2 linked regions of the Macaca fascicularis genome follow. The protein of the gene in region 1 purifies or fractionates together with the protein of each later gene. This does not show direct contact. Links are inferred from orthologs where the notes say so. Each region holds a gene or a part of one and is shown in the gene's direction. Other genes may lie near its edges. The genes, in order: NFKB2 and FBXW7.

Region 1 (4,589 bases):
ATCCCAGATAGCCTATGTTCTACCATAAGCCTAAGGGAGGAGGACTCCAGGCATGGAGATTACTCATGGCACCTGCTAAGGAGAAACGCTACTGACCAGAGAGAGGTCCACTCATGTACTCGATACTTGGTGAATTCCTGTCCTGACCTCACTGCCTCTAGAAGTGTTCAGATGGAAACTGGAAGGTCTATAAGAGGCAATTTGGCAGGACACAGTGGCTCACGTCTGTAATCCAAGCATTTTGGAAGGCCAAAGTAGGAGGACCACTTAAGCCCAGGAGTTTAAGACCAGCCTAGGCAACGTAGTGAGATCCATCTCCACTAAAAATTTAAAAATTTGCCAGGTGTGGTGGTGTGCACCTGTAGTCCCAGCTACTCAGGAGAGTGAGAGAATCAGTGCACCCCGGAGTTCGAGGTTGCAGTGAGCCATGATCGCGCCACTGTACTCCAGGCCTGGGTGACAGAGCGAGACACTGTCTCAAAAACATAAATAAATGAAATAGGCCGTGTGCGGTGGCTCACGACTGTAATCCCAACGTTTCGGAAGGCGGAGGCCAGCGGATCACCTAAGGACATGAGTTCGAGACTAGCCTGACCAACATGGTGAAACCCCAACTCTACTAAAAATACATAAATTAGCCGGGCTTGGTGGTGGGCACTGTAATCCCAGATACTCGGGAGGCTGCGGCAGGAGAATGGTTTGAATCCAAGAGGCGGAGGTTGCAGTGAGCCAAAAGCGCCTCACTGCATTCCAGTCTGAGACTAAAAAAAAAGAGGCGATTTCCCACATCGGTGGAAATTTGAGCTGTTTAAACTCTGGATGCCTTTTTCAGTTCTAATATTCCAGATCTCCGTGGTGGATAAACACTTAATTTCCCTTCTCCTGCGCAGAGCTCCTGAGTCCTGGCCCGCTGGGAACCTATCACTTCTATAAAAGTCCGAGGTCCGGACTGTCTCTCCCGGAACCCTGAGGCTGATGAGACAGAGCGAGACAGGGGCCTGGGCCAAATGGAGTCTCCTCGCGGCCTCATGAAGGCCGCCAGAGGGCGCCCGGGACCGACCGCAAAAGCAACTTCCTTCCTCTTCCGCTAACTTCCCGGCAGCCCGCCGCTCAGGGTGGGGGCCCCGAGGGCTGGGGCCGTCGGCTTCCCCCTGGGGTTCCCCCGCTTCGGAGAAAGTCAAGCATTAGGCGCAGCCAAAGCCGAGCTGCAGCGGAAGCTCCCGGCCCAAGGTGGCGCTGGGTCAGCGGGTACCTTCTCGGCGGTCCCCTAGCTGGCCGAACTAGTGGCCTGTCGCCCCGCTGGTGGCCTGTCGCGCCTGGTGGCCTGTCGCCCCGCTCCCTGCCCTGAGTGAGCCTGTCCCCTCTCAGGGGCGCGCCCGAGTCGCTCCGGGTTGGCTGCGCCAGTCCAGAGTTAAACTTTCAGCCAATGAAAAAGGGCGCGAGGCGCGACGCACGGAAACGTCATGGGAATTCCCCCCTCCGGGGGGCCGAGAAGGGGCTTTCCCGGCCCCAAGCCCTGCTTGCCGGCGAGGTGTCGCGACCGGTCCCAGGTGGGTCGGGCGCGGAGAGAAGCCGCAACCAGAGCCTCCGCCACGGTGAGTGGCTGGGTTCAGACCCCTGGGTGGCCGGGACAAGAGAAGAGCGGGAGGAGGGCCTTTAGCGGACAGCGCCGGGGGCTGGAGCAGCAGCAGCGGCGCGCAGGCAACGACACTCAGATCCACGTCGACATCCTTGTACAAAGACACACGGACCCGTACGTACACCTGTACCTGTGCTGGCGCACACACGGCAGCGTCCGTGCAGTCGCACTCGCACACACATGCACACGGAGACGTGCCCACCGGTGCACTGGTGCCTGCACCCACACCCTTCACGCACAAACTCAAGATACGCTCACCCGTGTCTGTACATCAAGACAGGCGCTGACACACACCCACACTGAGAAGCTCAGGACTCACCTGTCTACACACATGCTCGCTTGCACACTCATGTTGACGCCATGGACACACAACATGCACCCAAGCACTAGAGCCGAAACACACTTGTGGAGCTGTGATGGAGACACACGCTTGTATTGGGTGGGGAGCGTGCAGAGGTCTCCCTGTCGCCTGCGTGCCCAGAGCCGGTGCGGTGTGGAACCAGCTACTGTTGCGAGGTTTGGGAAAAAGAGGAGCCGGAGGAGAAGACACTTTTCCCGCGGCCCCAGAATCGTGTTCTCGGGGCAGAACCCCGGGGCCTCCCACAGGAAAGAGCCCCCGCCTACAGGCTGTTCGAAGGGGAGGCCATCAGACAGCAGGAATGTCCCCCCAAAAGCCCCCGGGTTTATCAGCCGTGGCCTCCCTCCTGGCAGAAATTCCCAAGGTTGCTCCAGACCGGGGGAGGGGAGCGGGAGGCGGACTTGGCTCCAGACTGCCAACCTCCCCACGGCCGTGAGGGACCCTCCTGTTCCCTGCCCTGGAGGGAGGAGGGGGCTTAACCCCCACCGCGGCTCCCCTGACTCTCCTCTCCCTCTACCCGCTGAAAAGCAGCGGGAACCCGCAGACTGGCGAGGGCCTCCCGCCCCTCCCGTCGTGAGGGCGGGGCCACTGGCGTCATTTCCAGGCCCGCCCCCTCCGGCCCCGCCTCCCCTTGGTATTTTCGGGACTTTCCTAAGCTGCTCTAACTTTCCTGCCCCTTCCCCGGCCAAGCCCAACTCCGGATCTCGCTCTCCACCGGATCTCACCCGCCACACCCGGACGGGCGGCTGGAGGAGGTCGGACCGTCCCCCAAATCTGGGCCCCCATCTCCCGCCCACCCCCATTTAGATCTGACCCCCTCCCCCACGCCACTCCTCCCAACTTTAGGCGGGCGCCTAAAATTCTGGGAAGCAGAACCTGGCCGGAGCCACTAGACAGAGCCGGGCCTAGCCCAGAGACATGGAGAGTTGCTACAACCCAGTGAGTCACGCTGCCTGCCCCTGACCCGGCCGGCCGCCCCCCGTGTCTGTCCACCTGTCTGCCCGAGCCCCCTCTGCTGCCATACACCTGCATGCTCGCAGATGCTCTCAGCCTACCAGTCTGTCCATCTGTCTACAACTCTGCCTCCAAAAGGAGCTTTCTCTTGGGCCTGAGGAGGAGGGGGAGTGACCACTGAGGACTTGGAGATGGGAGGTGGGGCCGTGGGGGGCGCTGAGAGTTGGATGCCACCCCCAGTCTGTCTCCAAACCAGGGTCTGGATGGCATTATTGAATATGATGATTTCAAATTGAACTCCTCCATTATGGAACCCAAGGAGCCAGCCCCAGAGACAGGTCAGTAAGTTCACTAACCTCCTCTAGTCCTAAAGGTAGGGGGAGGGAGAGCATGTGCCTTCTGCCTGGGGGAAGGGCTGGGAGATAGTGGCTAAGCAAGGTCTCCCTGTCCCCAGCTGATGGCCCCTACCTGGTGATCGTGGAACAGCCTAAGCAGGTGAGTAAGCAAAAGGGAGGGTGTGGAATGGCTTCAGCTTTGGGGACAAATGGGGTAGTGGTAGCTGGCAGGCCATGGAGGAGCCATTGCCCAAGGAGGCCACAGGGGATTGGATGGTCACTGCTGCTGATCAGAGTGCTGTAGTTGTGGTTCAGAGCAGATACTACCAGGCACTGTGGTCACTGCTGGCCGGGGTGGTCTTCCCTGATCATAATGCTACTCTGCCCTTGGACCTTCAGAGAGGCTTCCGATTTCGATATGGCTGTGAAGGCCCCTCCCACGGAGGACTGCCCGGTGCCTCCAGTGAGAAGGGCCGAAAGACCTATCCCACTGTCAAGGTGAGCCAGGATGGTGCTGGAGGGTTGGCTAAGTGGACAGCACGCCCAAGGCCCTGACAGTCCCTGCCTCTCCTAGATTTGTAACTACGAGGGACCAGCCAAGATCGAGGTAGACCTGGTAACACACAGTGACCCACCTCGTGCTCATGCCCACAGTCTGGTGGGCAAGCAATGCTCGGAGCTGGGGATCTGCGCCGTTTCTGTGGGGCCCAAGGACATGACTGCCCAGTAGGTGCCCTCTACCCCTGGCCCCCACTGATATGCCCCTCACTCTCTGCCAGTCCTAAGCCCCAGCCCACCTCCATGAGCTTAGCATCTGACCAAGGGGAGAGAGGTAGGTTGGCCCCAAACCCAAGGGCCCAAGTAGAAACTCCAATGGCTTCCTTGAGGAAGTAGGGCTGAGCTGAGCCCTGACAATGGGAAAGGCACCTCAGGAAGAAAGAACTGCACAGCCAAAGGCCTCTGATTCTCCCGTCTCCTCAGATTTAACAACCTGGGTGTCCTGCACGTGACTAAGAAGAACATGATGGGAACTATGATACAAAAACTTCAGAGGCAGCGGCTCCGCTCTAGGCCCCAGGGCCTTACGGGTATGGGTGCGGTGGGGGGAGGGTCATGGGAGGTGCTCATGGAAGGAGCAGGGAGGGAGAAGCCCAGGGGTCACACATGTACCCACTGCCCAGAGGCCGAGCAGCGGGAGCTGGAGCAGGAGGCCAAAGAACTGAAGAAGGTGATGGATCTGAGTATAGTGCGGCTGCGCTTCTCTGCCTTCCTTAGAGCCAGTGATGGCTCCTTCTCCCTGCCC
Region 2 (3,811 bases), on another chromosome or scaffold:
TTACAACTTTTAAAATTGAAATGTTCTATATTGTTTACTAAAAAGCATTTTAATGCCTTGGTGGCATCAATACTTTTTTGCAATCATTAATGATATTTAGAATGTAGACATATAACATGAAAGTAGAACATAATATAGATTGTACAAATCTTGTTTTTTCCACTATTTTCCCCTGCAGAATGTGAAAACCTTTGCATCTTCTGATAGTCTAGCCAAGGTCCAAGAAGTAGCAAGCTGGCTTTTGGAAATGAATCAGGAACTGCTCTCTGTGGGCAGCAAAAGACGACGAACTGGAGGCTCTCTGAGAGGTAACCCTTCCTCAAGCCAGGTAGATGAAGAACAGATGAATCGTGTGGTAGAGGAGGAACAGCAACAGCAACTTAGACAACAAGAGGAGGAGCACACTGCAAGGAATGGTGAAGTTGTTGGAGTAGAACCTAGACCTGGAGGCCAAAATGATTCCCAGCAAGGACAATTGGAAGAAAACAATAATAGATTTATTTCAGTAGATGAGGACTCCTCAGGAAACCAAGAAGAACAAGAGGAAGATGAAGAACATGCTGGTGAACAAGATGAGGAGGATGAGGAGGAGGAGGAGATGGACCAGGAGAGTGATGATTTTGATCAGTCTGATGATAGTAGCAGAGAAGATGAACATACACATAGTAACAGTGTCACAAACTCCAGTAGTATTGTGGACCTGCCCGTTCACCAGCTCTCCTCCCCATTCTATACAAAAACCACAAAAGTGAGTATATTCATTATATTGTTAACTTGAGAAACTTTACATACCTATTTTAAGTAATGAAACTTTCCTCTCAGTCTTTGTATTACTAAAAATTAATCTTAAGATATGTAATAATAAAATGAACTAGTTTTTTGTTTTACAGAAGGTATTGGAAAGTATTAACAAGTAGAAATACTGATAATGGGAGAATCTGAGTACAAATGGAGGGAAAGTAATTGAGCCTATTACTATGAAAAGTTATTAACATCAAATTTTTGTCTAAACCTTGAGTTCCGGGCAGGGATTAGTAGCTTGTGTGGGGTGTAGAGGTTTTGGGTGAAATATGATTTGTGTAAATCAAGTAATGAAGAAGCTTTTTATTTACAAAATGCAGCTGCTGGAGTGGGCTGTCTATTTACAAGTGTCACTCTAAGGCATAAATTACTCAAAAGTTGCCTCAAATTAGTTCTAGTTATTTATCATTTGAGAATTAGAAATAGTGGATATTCATGTAGAATAGACTTACAAGTTAAACTATATTTTGGAAAGGAACATTTTAACTTGAATAATAGCTTACTTGTTTTATAGACATTAAAATAATGTCTGTGGTAGTTCATCCTCTTACTCCTACTTGCTTATTTCTTACATTTTACAGTGATTTTAGGCCATAAACAATATACAAACTGATTTAACTGATTTGACATCATATCATTTAACCTAACTTGACTTGGAATGAAGTGTCTTACACACTTGGATTAATAATAGTTGAATTGCTAAATCATGTTTTACATCTGCTTGTAAAACCTTGACTTTCTAAAATGTGTTTGGCCCTAATTTACCTAGCCTGTCTGCAAGTCAGATTATATTTAGCTAGCATGATCTAAGAAGGACGTGACATCAAGTAGTGATTTTTCATCCATTGTATCATCCCTGTCTCAAGATGTTGAAGCAGTAGCTTTGGATCTCAGCCAGATGGCTCTACCGCTAACAACTATACACTGCTTTGTTAAGGCTCAGACCTTATATAGTGTCATTCCTCCCTTCTGTCCCCCCAGTCTTAATCCCCTTCTTCAAGGTTACTATATCAAAAGGGAGTTTATACAGCTCTTTTTTTCCTGAGGGTTCAGTTAGAGGAATAGGGGTTTAATATTTAAGTTCCAATTGCATTATCTTATTTCAGAAAGAGGTTCAATCAAAACTAAGCCTTGCAGAACAATGCAGAGTTATTGCTGATTTCTGCTACACTTTAAATTAAAAGCAAAAAAAGCTAGTTAGACAAAACTTTATCTTTTTCCAAAAGGAAAAGTCATCCTTATATTCTGTAGGAAACCTTCCAGTTCACAAGTTTGACAGGTACTTCATCTTTTCTTTACCTTCAAGATAAAATCATTAACAGAAATTTTATGTGTGTGATGATTACCTCTTTAAAAACGAAGTATACTGAATTTGTTAGTTTTTTTTCCTAGTGATTCTGAATCAGGAATAACAGTTATTCTTGTACATGCAAGATAACAAGAATGGACTGGGCCCTAACCATAGCAGGGATAGATGTGTGTATGCATTTGTATATATACACATGTACAATATAGATGTGTATATGCATTTATTATATAAGTGTGTATGTATACTTTTTGATATATTGTTGATCATGAGATGATTTGCCTTCATAAGTATGGCATGAAGAATACAAAGCTATTTGATTGCCAGGACAGTGATGCCCTTCTATAAGTACGATTTCAGTCTGAAATTTTTCTAAATGTTTTCCTTTTTGTCCATTCCTAAAACCCTTCTGCCAGAGTATTCCCGGAGCACTTTCAACAGCATTTAGAAAAGTCGCTTAGTACTGCTTTACCTAAAAAGAAAATGTCAATATTCTCCGTCTGTAGATGTTTTAATACAATAAATAGAAGCTCTCACTAGTTCAAGTACTTTATTTTGGAAGAGCTTTAAATTCTTGATCATTATAAAGTTAAGACACTTCTACAGACGTTACCCTAGACCATAGTTTCATTCAAGTCTTAAACTTTGACTTTTGAGAGTAGAGGCATAAGAAATGAAATCCCATTTTTAAATGTTAATATAGGATTAGCTTTCTACAAATTTTACTCAGGATACCTTTCAAGTTTTATTTTTTGACGTTCTCATAAACAAACCCTGTGGACAGCTAGACTGAATTTTATCCATCATCCCTAAATATGCTGCATAAGCAAATATGATATTAATGAGAAAAAAAGATGTTTAATTCTTCCTTGCATTGCTTTATTCTTTGAAAGCATTTTGAAAACTGTCAAAACTCTGAGGACAGTTTTTCCCCCCTTGTCACTAAAGGTTTGTTCTTTTGGGAGCCTTATGGCAAGCAATATATGTTAAAAATTCCATACTGTCTTAATGTTAAAAGTCAAGGGAAGTGATAGTCAAGAATTGCTATTTATTAAGCTCACACTGTTTGAAAGATCCTATGACAGATACATAAACAAAAGTTACAGAGAGGCCAAATGATCCACCCCAGATCACACTAAGTGATGAGAGATTTTAATCCTGATTTGCCTAATTGCAAAAAACCCCTTTCTCTTTCCATGTACTATGCTGCCCCCTATGGTAGAATATGACAAACATCACTAAACAAGATTTCCAATATAGTCATAGAGACTCTGGCGTGTGATGATTTTCTAATACTGTGTCCCATTTGAAGTGATCAGAGCTACCCTATAGAAAGGACAGAGAGCTCAGTTAACTACTTTTCTTTGTGGCACTTAACAAAACACTATTGAAGATTTTACAGCTCAAGGCTAAAGTAATCAGGAAGAAATGACGCTATTAAAAAATCTGATAGAGGTCATACTCTCTCGAATCCATAAAACATGCTTTTAAAGCAGAGGTTGTGTGCTGGCTGTTCCTCTAAATTTGACTAGCCTGTAAATTCTAGAGTCAACTTGGTTCTCCAGATATAAATGTCTGTCTCTTCAGTTTTTACTTCCTTTGTCAACATCCTTATCATATATATTTTTTAAAAATTGTTTTCTGAAGAGATGCCCAGCTCATATTGAAGAATCTTTGACATATTTTATGCAGATATCAACTAAT

Evidence for each region.
Region 2: the proteins of NFKB2 (region 1) and FBXW7 purify together in Homo sapiens (affinity purification with mass spectrometry; 7 studies listed by BioGRID and IntAct, with this or other methods). This does not show direct contact. The link is inferred for Macaca fascicularis from reciprocal best matches to the Homo sapiens genes NFKB2 and FBXW7.

Annotation. Positions count from the first base shown.
Region 1 is NC_088383.1:111,402,574-111,407,162, forward strand, and holds the start of NFKB2 (nuclear factor NF-kappa-B p100 subunit), read left to right. Parts: upstream 1-1,489; 5' UTR 1,490-1,595; intron 1,596-2,620; exon of another isoform or gene 2,621-2,752; intron 2,753-2,843; 5' UTR 2,844-2,915; coding exon 2,916-2,936; intron 2,937-3,207; coding exon 3,208-3,289; intron 3,290-3,405; coding exon 3,406-3,446; intron 3,447-3,685; coding exon 3,686-3,784; intron 3,785-3,860; coding exon 3,861-4,012; intron 4,013-4,267; coding exon 4,268-4,374; intron 4,375-4,467; coding exon 4,468-4,589. UniProt on the Homo sapiens protein: NF-kappa-B is a pleiotropic transcription factor present in almost all cell types and is the endpoint of a series of signal transduction events that are initiated by a vast array of stimuli related to many biological processes such as inflammation, immunity, differentiation, cell growth, tumorigenesis and apoptosis.
Region 2 is NC_088379.1:157,327,178-157,330,988, reverse strand, and holds part of FBXW7 (F-box/WD repeat-containing protein 7), read left to right. Parts: intron 1-178; 5' UTR 179-247; coding exon 248-748; intron 749-3,811. UniProt on the Homo sapiens protein: Substrate recognition component of a SCF (SKP1-CUL1-F-box protein) E3 ubiquitin-protein ligase complex which mediates the ubiquitination and subsequent proteasomal degradation of target proteins.